Linked DNA regions of Daphnia pulex. The protein of the gene in region 2 interacts with the protein of the main gene of each other region in a pairwise test. Links are inferred from orthologs where the notes say so. Each region holds a gene or a part of one and is shown on either strand. Other genes may lie near its edges.

Region 1 (4,442 bases), on a different chromosome or scaffold from region 2:
GATCGATACGGCTGTGGATGAGCATGTTCTCCTCCATCGGGTCAGCGCGTCGACTACACGCTCCATTGGGCAAAAGAGACGAAGCCGACTTCTATATAGAGACCAATCAGCGGGCTCTCAAATTGAACCCCTCTTCCATCCTGGAGGACGTCAATGCTTCATCACTGAGAATAAACTATCGCAAAACGGTCCAACTGAAACCATGTGTATTTATGAGCCGGCTCTCCAATTTGATTGCTATTCCAGATTTGATGCTACGCTATTGTACAGTGTATAATATGACGTCGTCCGAACTTGGGCAGCACAAGTAACGTTTAGACGATGACCATTTCAGAGCCAAATGTCCGAACTGCAGTCGCCACCGGGATATCTGTTATTAGCCAAGCAATTTCAATCAAAATGCAGCTAGATTGGCATTGGAGCGACACAGCTTACATACCGAATTTCGTGAGCAAGAACTGGGCCGTCTGGCTCCGCTCCAAAATCGACCATTAGTTTTGGATTAATCTTGAGGCCGCCAACATTGACGTCCACGTCAATCTGTAGCAGAACGGATCCTTTTCTAAATGCGATTAAGAACTAATTAAATACGATTGGGGGACGAGTTGATTTTCTTATAGAAAAAAACGCACTCGACCATATCCGGATAAAATTGACGGTCCCATGGACTGAAAAGTGACGTGGTAACGTATAATCTCCGGCCATCGAGGGAGAGCTGGAGCATCTGAGGCCCACCGTGGAATCGCTTCCCATTCACTACCAACGGTTCTGGCTGTTAATTAAATTCAATTATTCAATGTCCACTGGGACAGAGCCAAATTTAATAAGAAAGAAGAATATGCTGCCAACCGCTTTGACATTGTCTTCTAAGATGGTTACGCCCCCTCCACTCACGGCGCTTCCGCCAACGTAGATCTGCCCTACTAGCTTGGGGTGGGCTGGGTCGCTGATGTCATACTGCCGTATGTCACCTGAAGAAATCACCCTACAATTAATGATTCATTACAAGATATAAGAACAACAACCCTGATACCTTGCACCCAGTTGGAGAGATAGAGAAAACGATCGTCCATAGAAATAAGTATGTCGGTGATTATTCCAGGCATGGACGGCAGAGCCCAGTTGGAGACTTTCCACGACGGCACATCGATAACTTTATCCGCCGCCCATTTACCGTCTTCCAACTGATGAAAACTACAAGTAGTAAGTTTAGTAAGAAATATGGTAAGAACTTTATGGCTGATATCAGGGACATTTTGTATTCATACCGGAAGACGTTGGCGGTCAAAGCGCAGCCCACGAATCCAGTTGTGGCAGTCGGTTCGTGAAGGAAACGAATTTCAAGAGGCATCAATCCCTCACTACCCAAGTCCAAGGTCTGAATTTTCTTATGTTCTTTCCAGTCCCACACATGCAGAGATTGGCCATACATGCCTAAATTTCAGAAGGTGAGTTAGACAATTTGCACGGTTATTTAAATGTATGACGTAATTGTGGTTTATTATATACCTGCAGACACGTGATCCAAGGAAAATCCAGTGCAAAAAGCCGACGGAGAACCCCACTCGGAAGAGATCTAACACACAACATTAAAAAAATTATTGTACATCGTACATTTAGAAAGCTAAAAAAATAAAGCTTTACGAACCATGACATTATGACGCGGCTGATACCAAAAGTCGTAACCAAAATTCGTGGAATCTTCACTCCACAAACCTTCGCATCCAATAATGTTTATAGGTATGCGTATAATGAAAAAAACGAGAATCTATTGATGTACCTTTAATCTTCCATTCCTTTGTATCAATCAAGAAGAATGATCCTTTTGCTTCCCTCTTTGCGTTACCCATTGACGACACCATTACATTACCGTCGGCTAAGCAATGAAGAGTATGTGGCGCACTGAGATCCAGGTCATGCATTTCTTTAGGCTCAATAACCTACTCAGCCAAAATCAATCGTACATTAAAGATTTGAAAGAAAACCACGATCGTTAATAATACCTTTAGAATTTCAGGAGCTCTGGGGTTTTTGGCAACATCGATCACATAAATTCGGTCGCTAATTAGTCCTGCGACAACGAGGTTATCGCGTTTCTGCGAAGGATCGTCGTAGCAACTACTGCAGGAATTCCAACCACTGTGATGCAATTCGTCGTTCGCATAAGGCATAATCGTTCGGTGAATTACCTAACATTAGAAAATTCCCCAAAAAATCAGTGTGCCTAAAGTTTTCAATTAACGTTTAGACATTTATTCACTTGACTATACGTTGGGCTGCTTGGATCAACATCAATCGTGGCCACGTAATCATGTTTCCCCTTTTCCCCTTGGATGCATGTTATGTACAAAAGTTTTTCCGGGGAGGCTTTTGTAGCTTCGAGAGGCGAAGCATAGCCGGGACCGCAAGCGCAGCACTTACTTCCTCCGTCTAGACATTTTCAATTCAATTATCATTTAATGTCAGGCTTCAATGCTAGTGTTGTACATGTGGCCTATATTTCGTTATTTCTTAATTAAACAAAGCAGCATTTGTTATCACGTAGTCATTCAGTTGAACATGGAATCTAACTTATGTCGGTCTGTTCCACTGTAAATTGACAATAAGTGACGTGAGACAGTAAGCGGCCGATTAATGACATGTGGATTTGAGGCTCATGGGCGTGGGGTTTACGTAGTACTTTAAACATGGATAAGAATTTACCTTCCATAATGCTATGTAAACTAAAGCCGACTAGCTGAGAAAGATTTGGTGGTGGTAGAGATAGTCTTGGTGGTGGTTGTAAATATAATCTAGTCGTCGACTAAGAATCCCGTTCGTCGTGATAAGCATACCAACCTGACATAAGAGTAAAAACTGTTGTCTAGTATAAACAGCGCTACTAGCGGCCAAGTATTAAACACGAAACTCTCTTATTTTGGTTTAAGCGGAACAAACAACGCAAACAACATAGGCTTTCACTATCGCATATGTTATCGTTATATAAACTTTCTTGAGTTTTCGTTGTCCATGAACTGTAGGTTTATGATTATTTTTTTCCGAAGTGAATTCGAAAGTGAAATAGAATAGCGATCATAAAATTTTTAAAAATGTCTTATTTTCTTAAAGGAAACTAGCTAGAAGCTAGCTGTCTTTGGAGAAAAATAATTATCTACGCAAGAATATTAATAAATTGAAAACCATTGAAATTCAATAAATTACGTTCGTACTTGAATTTCAGGTTGTTTAAATTTGTTTCAGTTTAATGACAATCTTAAGATAAGGTCAGGTCACTGTGTTATCGGCTTGTTGCACAAAAAAATAATTTTTAAAATTTATTAATGATGTTTTATAGCTTTTGCGATAATAATACCAGATCTGGCAGCTAAGCCGAACACGGTGAAAGTTATCGCCTAGAGCATGCCCAGTGCCTACAGGTTTTAAAATGTCAGTCCCTGTTTGGTCTGTAAACATGACAGAACTGTAAAGAAGTACTTGGCAGAAGTTACTGCCGACTCTGATATTAGATATGAAAATAGTGTAGTGTTACAAATAAAATTGTCGTGATAAGTTTTAGAAAAAATGGAATCCATTGATATTGAGAAGAAAGATATGGCTACAACCGATCCCTCAAGGTTCACAGTAAAAGATTATGTTGATATTGTGGAAAAGCAAAAGTATCAATTTGATGCATTCTTTTGCCTTAAATTTTGGAGACCTAAGCCTAACTTACATCCTGAAGCAACCAAGTTTATTGCTGATAGTATACTTGAAAGTCCACGTATGAAAGACGTCATTCATCAAGTAATAGAATACCCTTTATCTTAAGTCTTAACTGCTGATTTCAGCATTTTTTTTTGCCTTTTTAATCAATTTTATTCTTACAGCTTCTCCTTGAAGGTCATAATGGTGTAAACAGCTATGAAAACATTGTTGTCCAAATCAAAACCATTTTGGAGGAAATGGGTCATACATACAGTCTTGGTACTATCCGTGTAATTGGTTTTTTCCTTGCTAAGCTGCTGAGAAATTTATATCAAGGTGTAGCAATTAACAACTCTGCTGTCCTGAAGGTAAAAAAACTCATATTTTATTTCTTAAATGAAATCCAATATTTTTTTTTATCACAGCTCAGTAAGGCAATGTCTGAAGGACCTGTTTTAATCTTACCCACACATAGAAGCTATGCAGATTTTCTGCTAATATCATATCTTTGCTATACTATGGATATCCCTCTTCCTGTTATTGCCGCGGGAATGGGTATACGTATAGTTCTTTTTCTTTCGGCTACGATGTTTACAACTTTATGTTTGTTTCAGATTTTAAAGGAATGAAATTTGTGAATCGTGTGCTGCAAAACGCGGGTACAATGTAGCGAAGTCTTTAGAAAAAGTACATGTTTGAACTATTTATACATTTATTTTAGGTGCTTTTTACATCAGACGCTCGTTTGGTCATGACCA
Region 2 (2,797 bases):
TCGGGGGCTTGCTGTAATTGCCTTCAACGGCAGGTTAACATCACAACAGTTGCCGAAAGTATAGAGACGAGGCGGAGTCAGTTTTTGGGCATTGTCCGTCGCACGTGCCACCGCCCACCGGTTCGTCTACCTAGTGGCAAAAGCGTTATTAATATGGCGGGGAAATGTAATGAGAATCTTTTCCACGAAAATTTGAAACTCCTCAGGTAAAAAAAAAAAAGGCTGATATGGGTCAGGCAATAAGCGGCAGGTGATTGATAAAAGCCCACACTGCCTCAGCAACAGCTGGATCATTTTTGTCATGTCACGCCACCTGTTGCTACCTACGCTCTACTGAATTCTGTGCTATCAATGATGGAATATTACTCCATCATTTATCCCGGACCGACGGCAGAAATCCGCGTTGAATCTATTTGTTACTCCAATCACGTCACTTTGCTGATTGAACTTATAATCATAGAAGAGTGGAATTTCAAGCACGATTATTAGATAATACCAGGGAATTAAGATTGATACGTTCATCCTCTTGATTGTCGCATGGTCTACCGGAAAACTCGGGGCCGTAGGTGAGAACCAACCATTATACATCCGCCGAGTGCGCAGGAGGATGGCTACGTAGTATAGACCTACCACATGTACAATACGTGAATATGCACTCAGACATGATACACCGCCCTCACGGCCGCGTGCATTATCCGGATGTCACGTATACACGGAGTAGATATGACACTTTAAGATGATATTTCTGACCTATACATGGTAGAATGCTATCGCCCCCGCACCGGATATCCGATCAAAAGTGGCGAAAATAAGAACAAAAGTCAAAGAAAAATTTCAACAGATTTCGTTTGGGTTGAATATTTTTGATTAGCCTACTTTCAAATATTTCCGTTCTGGAAAAGGACGATAAAATAGTAACGGAGGCGTAGAATGTCGCATATGTGAAACAACTGGAAATCACACGGTAATATATTCCATCTTTTTATTTTTCCGTTCGCCTTTCCTGCTGAATTCATAATTTTTCTGATTTGACTTTTTTATTTTGGTATTTTTGTTTTTCAACTCCATATTCCATCTAAATTCTTCTATTGATCTTACCTCCTACAGGAAAATAAAATAACTCACGGTGCAAACTGAAGTTAGTATAGTCTAGCCGTCTAGCCTATCAGCTGCGGCTTCATGGTTTATTAGGGTCCTACGGCGCAGCGCAACCGCAAAATGTTATCCAAATTCGGAAATCAAACTGTGTGATAAGGCCACCACACACATTAATAAATTGTGGGCATGAAATTTGAAATCGTTTTAATTTTTTTTTTATTTTGTAAAAATTTTTTTAAGTTAATTCAATTTTTAATATTTTCTCGATTTCTTTCTAGATGGCATCAATTGATCAAGCAGACGACAAATTGCAAAAGTTGACGCTTTCCAATTTCCATTTCAAGTTGTTGTCTGACGTTTCCATTCTGTCCGGTTGCCTCGTTTCTAGATTTCCAAAACTGTTGAAGCAAACTACGTTATTTCGTTGTTTGCTTCGCAATGAGCACCAGAGGTAAATATATCGTGAAGTGTAGTCGTTTTCAATACAGATTCTCATTGCTATGTTATTATTCCTTTTTCCGATGGGTAGAAACTGATGAACAACAAAGGATTCGATTTCAGGTGGAACTAGAATTTGTGCAATGTTTCGCAAATCCAAATTATCTGCACTGTAAGTATTTGGTCTATTTTTAAAATCAACACTTTCATTATGCCTTGTTTACACTAGTCCTTGCTCAACGTGGCTATTTTAAGGATCCGGCGTTTGTCAACTACATCAAGTATTTACAGTATTGGAAGGAGCCTGCTTATGCAAAATATTTGAAGTACACCAATTCACTTGCAATTTACCCTAACTAGAAATTACAATTTCATTATTTTCCAGGTACCCAATGTGTTTGCATTTCCTAGACTTGCTTCAATATGAGCATTTCAGAAAGGAGGTTGTGAATGGCCAGTGTGCTCGCTTCATTGATGATCAACAAATCCTTCACTGGCAACATTACACTAGAAAGAGGGTTCGTCTTCTTCAAAGTCAAGCTGAGAAGCACATGATGACTGTTCAGAATGAGCCAACACCCCAGAAAAGTGTTTGATTCATGATAATTATTGTTTAAGGAACTTTTTAAACTTCTCTTATATTGGGCAAGTATATGCAAGACAATATAGACAAATTTTTGTAAATTGCTGTATTTTGTGTTGAGTTTTTGCAAACTACCAGACAAAATGTTAACAACACATATGTTTTGGAAGACTTGTTTTGAGTGAGAATGTTTAGAATGGAATAGCTGCTGTTGACCTCAACTGATGGGAGCGAGTGGAAAATCTCTACATATTACGAGATTTGTCATCAGTTACTATACTCAACAACCTCAAAAGGCAGATTTTCTTCACTTCTTCAATCCCAATGTTTAGTTCTTCAGCAGCTGAGTGTTCCAATCTCTCAACTATTCCTTTCAAGATTGCTTCCTTCTTGTTCTGCCTGGCACAGATAACAAAAGGAAATCCAAACTTTTCTCTGTATCTATTAAAATAATAGCCCAAAAGACACAGCTCATTAGTTACTATATAGTTATAGAACAGTAATTTGTCATACTTGATGTTGGTCTCTCCTAGCAGTTGTTTTTCACCAGGTGTCATTGTGTCTAAACCAGCAGCTTTCTGTTCAGCAGTACTCTCCTGTGTTAGGCTGCCAAGTTCAGCTAGCCTGCCAGCCAAATCAGGGTGAAGTCTTAGCACCCCCTCTTTACCTATCAAATGA
Region 3 (3,656 bases), on a different chromosome or scaffold from region 2:
ATAGAGAATGTCGAGCTTGTTGCGAATTCGGAAGCGATTCTTTTACATATCATTTCCAGTTTTCAGACAATTTCCAGTGGCATTGTGCACAGAAGAATGTGCAAACTTGTTCTAAACGCAAATTTCACTTCTTCTGAATCTAAGCTTCGTTGTTTGGAAAATGTACAAAAAATCGTTCTTCAGTCAGCTAATCAAAGGTTCTTGGCACTCGCCCACCTACTATCCTACGTTTTATGACATCTTCAATTTTCTTTTTTAGATGGTATTCCGAGATCACAGCAGTTCCAAGCGCTACCTTTGAAAATAGGTCTAGCATGTTGCGAGATATCGACAAGGCGTTTGTGCTGGATTTTGCGTTGAAAAGGTGGTTTAAAAATTATTTTCTGGTTTTATCTTGCTAAATCGTCTTCATAATTTAGGGAGTTAGAACCTTTAATGTGGAGAGAAATCGTCGCTCAGACAAACACAGACGACTTTCCGTTATTGTGCAGCAATCATAGTTTCCTTTTATATGTCCTTGGAAGTCGAATATTGAAATATGATGCTTTTTACCATGCCAAGGCATACCTTTTAAATATGATTACCGCCGAAGCCTTCGACAACTCTAAGGTACGCCGATTTCGGATGCTATTAATTTTTTGAACGGTTTTATCTTTTTATGAAATGAGCATCTCATTTTTTTCCATTAGATCCTGTCAATCGCTCATATTCTCAGTGCATTGTGCAAATCCATCTCACCATCGGAGGTCAACGATATTTTCACTGCATCCGAAATCACCATATTGGCTAAAACACCGCTTACCTTAATTGGTGCGATGGATTCGCTTTCCCATTCGTTAGTTCTTCTACAGGCGTCCTCTGAGATTGTTTCCATATTTGGGCGTGAACTTGCAATTGAATGGACAGACAAAGAGAATCTACCGGCTGTTTACAAGGCAATCCATTGTTTGGAGTCTCTTTGCATTCGGATAAGAAACAATGCAACTCTAGAACAACCTACTATTACCGGTAAATATCCTAAATTGTCTTCTTTAGTTGAAGATTTGATAACGAACGAATTTTCATTTAGGCCTGGAGCAAATGATTTGTCCTGATCCAAACTTTGTTTCGAGTGCGAAACAATTAAACCGAATACTTAGATTTATCGAACAAGAATCAAACATTCCAGGAATACTTCATCAAGACTTACTGTAAATTGTATTTCTGAATATTGATAAATCAATTCATTAAGATTTTTCTACTATTTTCAGGTCGACTGTTACTGTGTTTTGTCGAATGCCACTCTTCTATTCCTATATTTGCATTCCGCCATCCGCTTGGAGCAAAGGCTGGAATCCTGAGCTAAATTTGGATGTCGAACATATCACATTGGATCTACCAATAATCCCTTCACATTTTCTGCATGATGAAGTTGTTTTAAAAGAATTCGTTTTCCGGTAATTTTGGGACATTTTCTTATAAATGGATCTTGGATCATGCTGACTGCTTACTTATTCTTAAAGAATCGAGCAAATTAGCTGGATTACCAAAAAGAAATTTGAAGAAATTTGGATGACTTTTCTTGGCATTTTGAACTTACACAATGAGGATCAAGTGAGACCCGAAGAACAAGCAAGCGTCATCCAGGTATCATAACAGAGTTGGTAATTTTTTCTTACAATTTTTGAAAAACCATTTGAATTCAAAGGCTACATGTGAAGCCGTGCGAGCTCTTACAATGGTGCTTCAAAAAAATCTACCATTTAAGACGCCAAGATCTGTGAAAAATAATGAACTAGACAAGCCTCCTGAGTTCACGTCAACTGAGTAAAGCCAATGTGTTATTTAATCTCGCTTAATTATAGCTAATTGTCAATATTTTTAATGGATATTGTAGAAGGGGCAAGAAGCTGAAAGAACTCTGCAATTTGCTAGAAGAAGATTACACGATATCATCTTCCTGCAGTTATTGGCTCAATCGTCACTCCTTCAGACACATTCAATATAATATTGATCAAGGTTCACCATCCAAAAAGAAGGCTACTAGTCCCGAAGATGTTACAGATATAGATATCCAATCCTGTGTTCGCTTCTTAGTGGATCTCTACTCACAGTGGCTTCAGAATTCGGTAACCTTAATCTTCTATGTAGAAAATAATGATATTTTTCTTCAACATTTTCTTTTTTTTTCTCAAGAATACGCCGTACCCGCTGCTAGTGGACTTGTTTCAATCCCTAGTGCACATATCAAACTTCTTTGTCGATGTTCAACAGTTTGAGTGGATGCTGGATAACTCCTTAACCTTACACAGGCAACTTCTTCCTGATGATCCTGCGAGCTTAGAGTCCGCTTTAGTAGGGTGCATCTTGAAATCTGCTTCTTTTATACCCATGGTACAAAATTCATCTGAAATCTGAAGTTTTGTGATAATGTATTGTTATTTTTTCATGTCTCAGAATATGGAATACTGGGAATTAGTAAAAAAGCACTGTGAAACCGCATTGAATTCCCAGCATATTTCCACGCGAACTAGTGGATTAAATGGTCTTTTGTATCTACTTCAAAAGTTTGCCAGAAATCCAGATCTTGCTCGTACAGGCACTCTCGTCAACCTGGCTATGGATTATGTCGGTAAATGTCTCAGGTTGGTGTGATTCATCTCTTTACGTTTAAAGAAATTTGTCTGTTTATTTATTTGAAATATCATATTAAGCCCTGAACACAATGGTCCGACCTGGCATCAGTCCTTCGTTTGGTCAATAGCGTTCTATTGCGGCGAACATTTTGCAGTATTGCCCTATCAGAATTATGCTGTCGTCGATTTTGTTGTTCAGTGCGCTCTTAGTAGGCTTGTGCAAAACGAACAACAATCAAACGAGATCCCAAAAGAAATTTTACAGGTATTTCGTGAATTTATTGAAGATCTTATGTTGTAGGCTAATCTCGTTATTGATTCGTTATAGGGATTAGAACGGCTGAGCATTCTAGGCGTATTGACTCCGATTTGGCGAACGCAAGTTAAAAAAGAGGTTCTCAATTTAATACGCAATGTTGATTGTGATTGGATTCTACAGCCAGCACTACGAACTCTGCTGTCATTAGTCTATTCAGGTATAGGGTTTCATGCTGACTCTGTTTTTTCACTCCTCTCAAACCAATATTTACTTTTTCAAGATTTTGGTAGCCAATTGTATAAACCTGGAGCAGATCCTGAAACGATGCTCGCCGCTATGGAATGGGTGGGCGCCCTGTTCCAACGGTAAAGCTGAATAAGATGATTCTTGTTTACTTAGTTATTAATTTGTATCTGTTTCTTAATTTTCCATTTCCTCAGAATGAAGCGCGGAACAGATCTAGAGGCGGAGCTTTTGGGGCGAATTATGCCCGTCATAACCTGTGATATTTTCCCACCAGCAGACATCTTGAATCGTATTTTAAGTGAATTTATAACGGCAAGACCCACAGTTGCCTGTTGTTTAACTCCAACCATTTTCAAAGTAAGTCGTGGAACGTAGAATTTGTGTGGCATTGTCAACTGCCAAGATGTTTACTCTCTGGTTAATTCATTCAGGTTTTTGGAACGGCACGTACTCAAGGACAACAAAGTTTAGTCATGGAGTGGATTCTCTTAAGCCTCAGCAATTTTACCAGGACGCCTAGCGACACAGCGAATGAT

The links.
Region 1: the proteins of mediator of RNA polymerase II transcription subunit 31-A-like (region 2) and methanethiol oxidase-like interact in a two-hybrid assay, tested with the Homo sapiens proteins (2 studies listed by BioGRID and IntAct). The link is inferred for Daphnia pulex from reciprocal best matches to the Homo sapiens genes MED31 and SELENBP1.
Region 3: the proteins of mediator of RNA polymerase II transcription subunit 31-A-like (region 2) and huntingtin-like interact in binary tests that used the Homo sapiens proteins (3 or more experiments, as listed by UniProt). The link is inferred for Daphnia pulex from reciprocal best matches to the Homo sapiens genes MED31 and HTT.

What each region holds. Positions count from the first base shown.
Region 1 is NC_060020.1:6,012,934-6,017,375, reverse strand, and holds methanethiol oxidase-like, read right to left. Parts: upstream 2,879-4,442; 5' UTR 2,711-2,878; coding exon 2,704-2,710; intron 2,536-2,703; exon of another isoform or gene 2,431-2,535; coding exon 2,261-2,430; exon of another isoform or gene 2,190-2,260; coding exon 2,004-2,189; exon of another isoform or gene 1,941-2,003; coding exon 1,781-1,940; exon of another isoform or gene 1,717-1,780; coding exon 1,649-1,716; exon of another isoform or gene 1,577-1,648; coding exon 1,510-1,576; intron 1,449-1,509; exon of another isoform or gene 1,435-1,448; coding exon 1,269-1,434; intron 1,204-1,268; exon of another isoform or gene 1,195-1,203; coding exon 1,034-1,194; exon of another isoform or gene 972-1,033; coding exon 850-971; exon of another isoform or gene 773-849; coding exon 633-772; exon of another isoform or gene 563-632; coding exon 440-562; exon of another isoform or gene 371-439; coding exon 331-370; 3' UTR 190-330; downstream 1-189. Other genes in the region: uncharacterized protein LOC124192778, read right to left, coding at 1-37; dihydroxyacetone phosphate acyltransferase-like, read left to right, coding at 3,562-3,783, 3,867-4,239, 4,299-4,343, 4,406-4,442. UniProt on the Homo sapiens protein: Catalyzes the oxidation of methanethiol, an organosulfur compound known to be produced in substantial amounts by gut bacteria. Selenium-binding protein which may be involved in the sensing of reactive xenobiotics in the cytoplasm.
Region 2 is NC_060024.1:13,245,158-13,247,954, reverse strand, and holds mediator of RNA polymerase II transcription subunit 31-A-like, read left to right. Parts: upstream 1-1,395; 5' UTR 1,396-1,536; coding exon 1,537-1,549; intron 1,550-1,627; coding exon 1,628-1,708; intron 1,709-1,765; coding exon 1,766-1,862; intron 1,863-1,921; coding exon 1,922-2,132; 3' UTR 2,133-2,220; downstream 2,221-2,797. Other genes in the region: 2-oxo-4-hydroxy-4-carboxy-5-ureidoimidazoline decarboxylase-like, read right to left, coding at 2,365-2,560, 2,633-2,786. UniProt on the Homo sapiens protein: Component of the Mediator complex, a coactivator involved in the regulated transcription of nearly all RNA polymerase II-dependent genes.
Region 3 is NC_060020.1:1,047,167-1,050,822, forward strand, and holds part of huntingtin-like, read left to right. Parts: coding exon 1-197; intron 198-259; coding exon 260-364; intron 365-419; coding exon 420-609; intron 610-689; coding exon 690-1,008; intron 1,009-1,069; coding exon 1,070-1,190; intron 1,191-1,250; coding exon 1,251-1,436; intron 1,437-1,502; coding exon 1,503-1,626; intron 1,627-1,687; coding exon 1,688-1,806; intron 1,807-1,876; coding exon 1,877-2,108; intron 2,109-2,175; coding exon 2,176-2,373; intron 2,374-2,436; coding exon 2,437-2,624; intron 2,625-2,693; coding exon 2,694-2,880; intron 2,881-2,943; coding exon 2,944-3,091; intron 3,092-3,154; coding exon 3,155-3,239; intron 3,240-3,314; coding exon 3,315-3,477; intron 3,478-3,551; coding exon 3,552-3,656.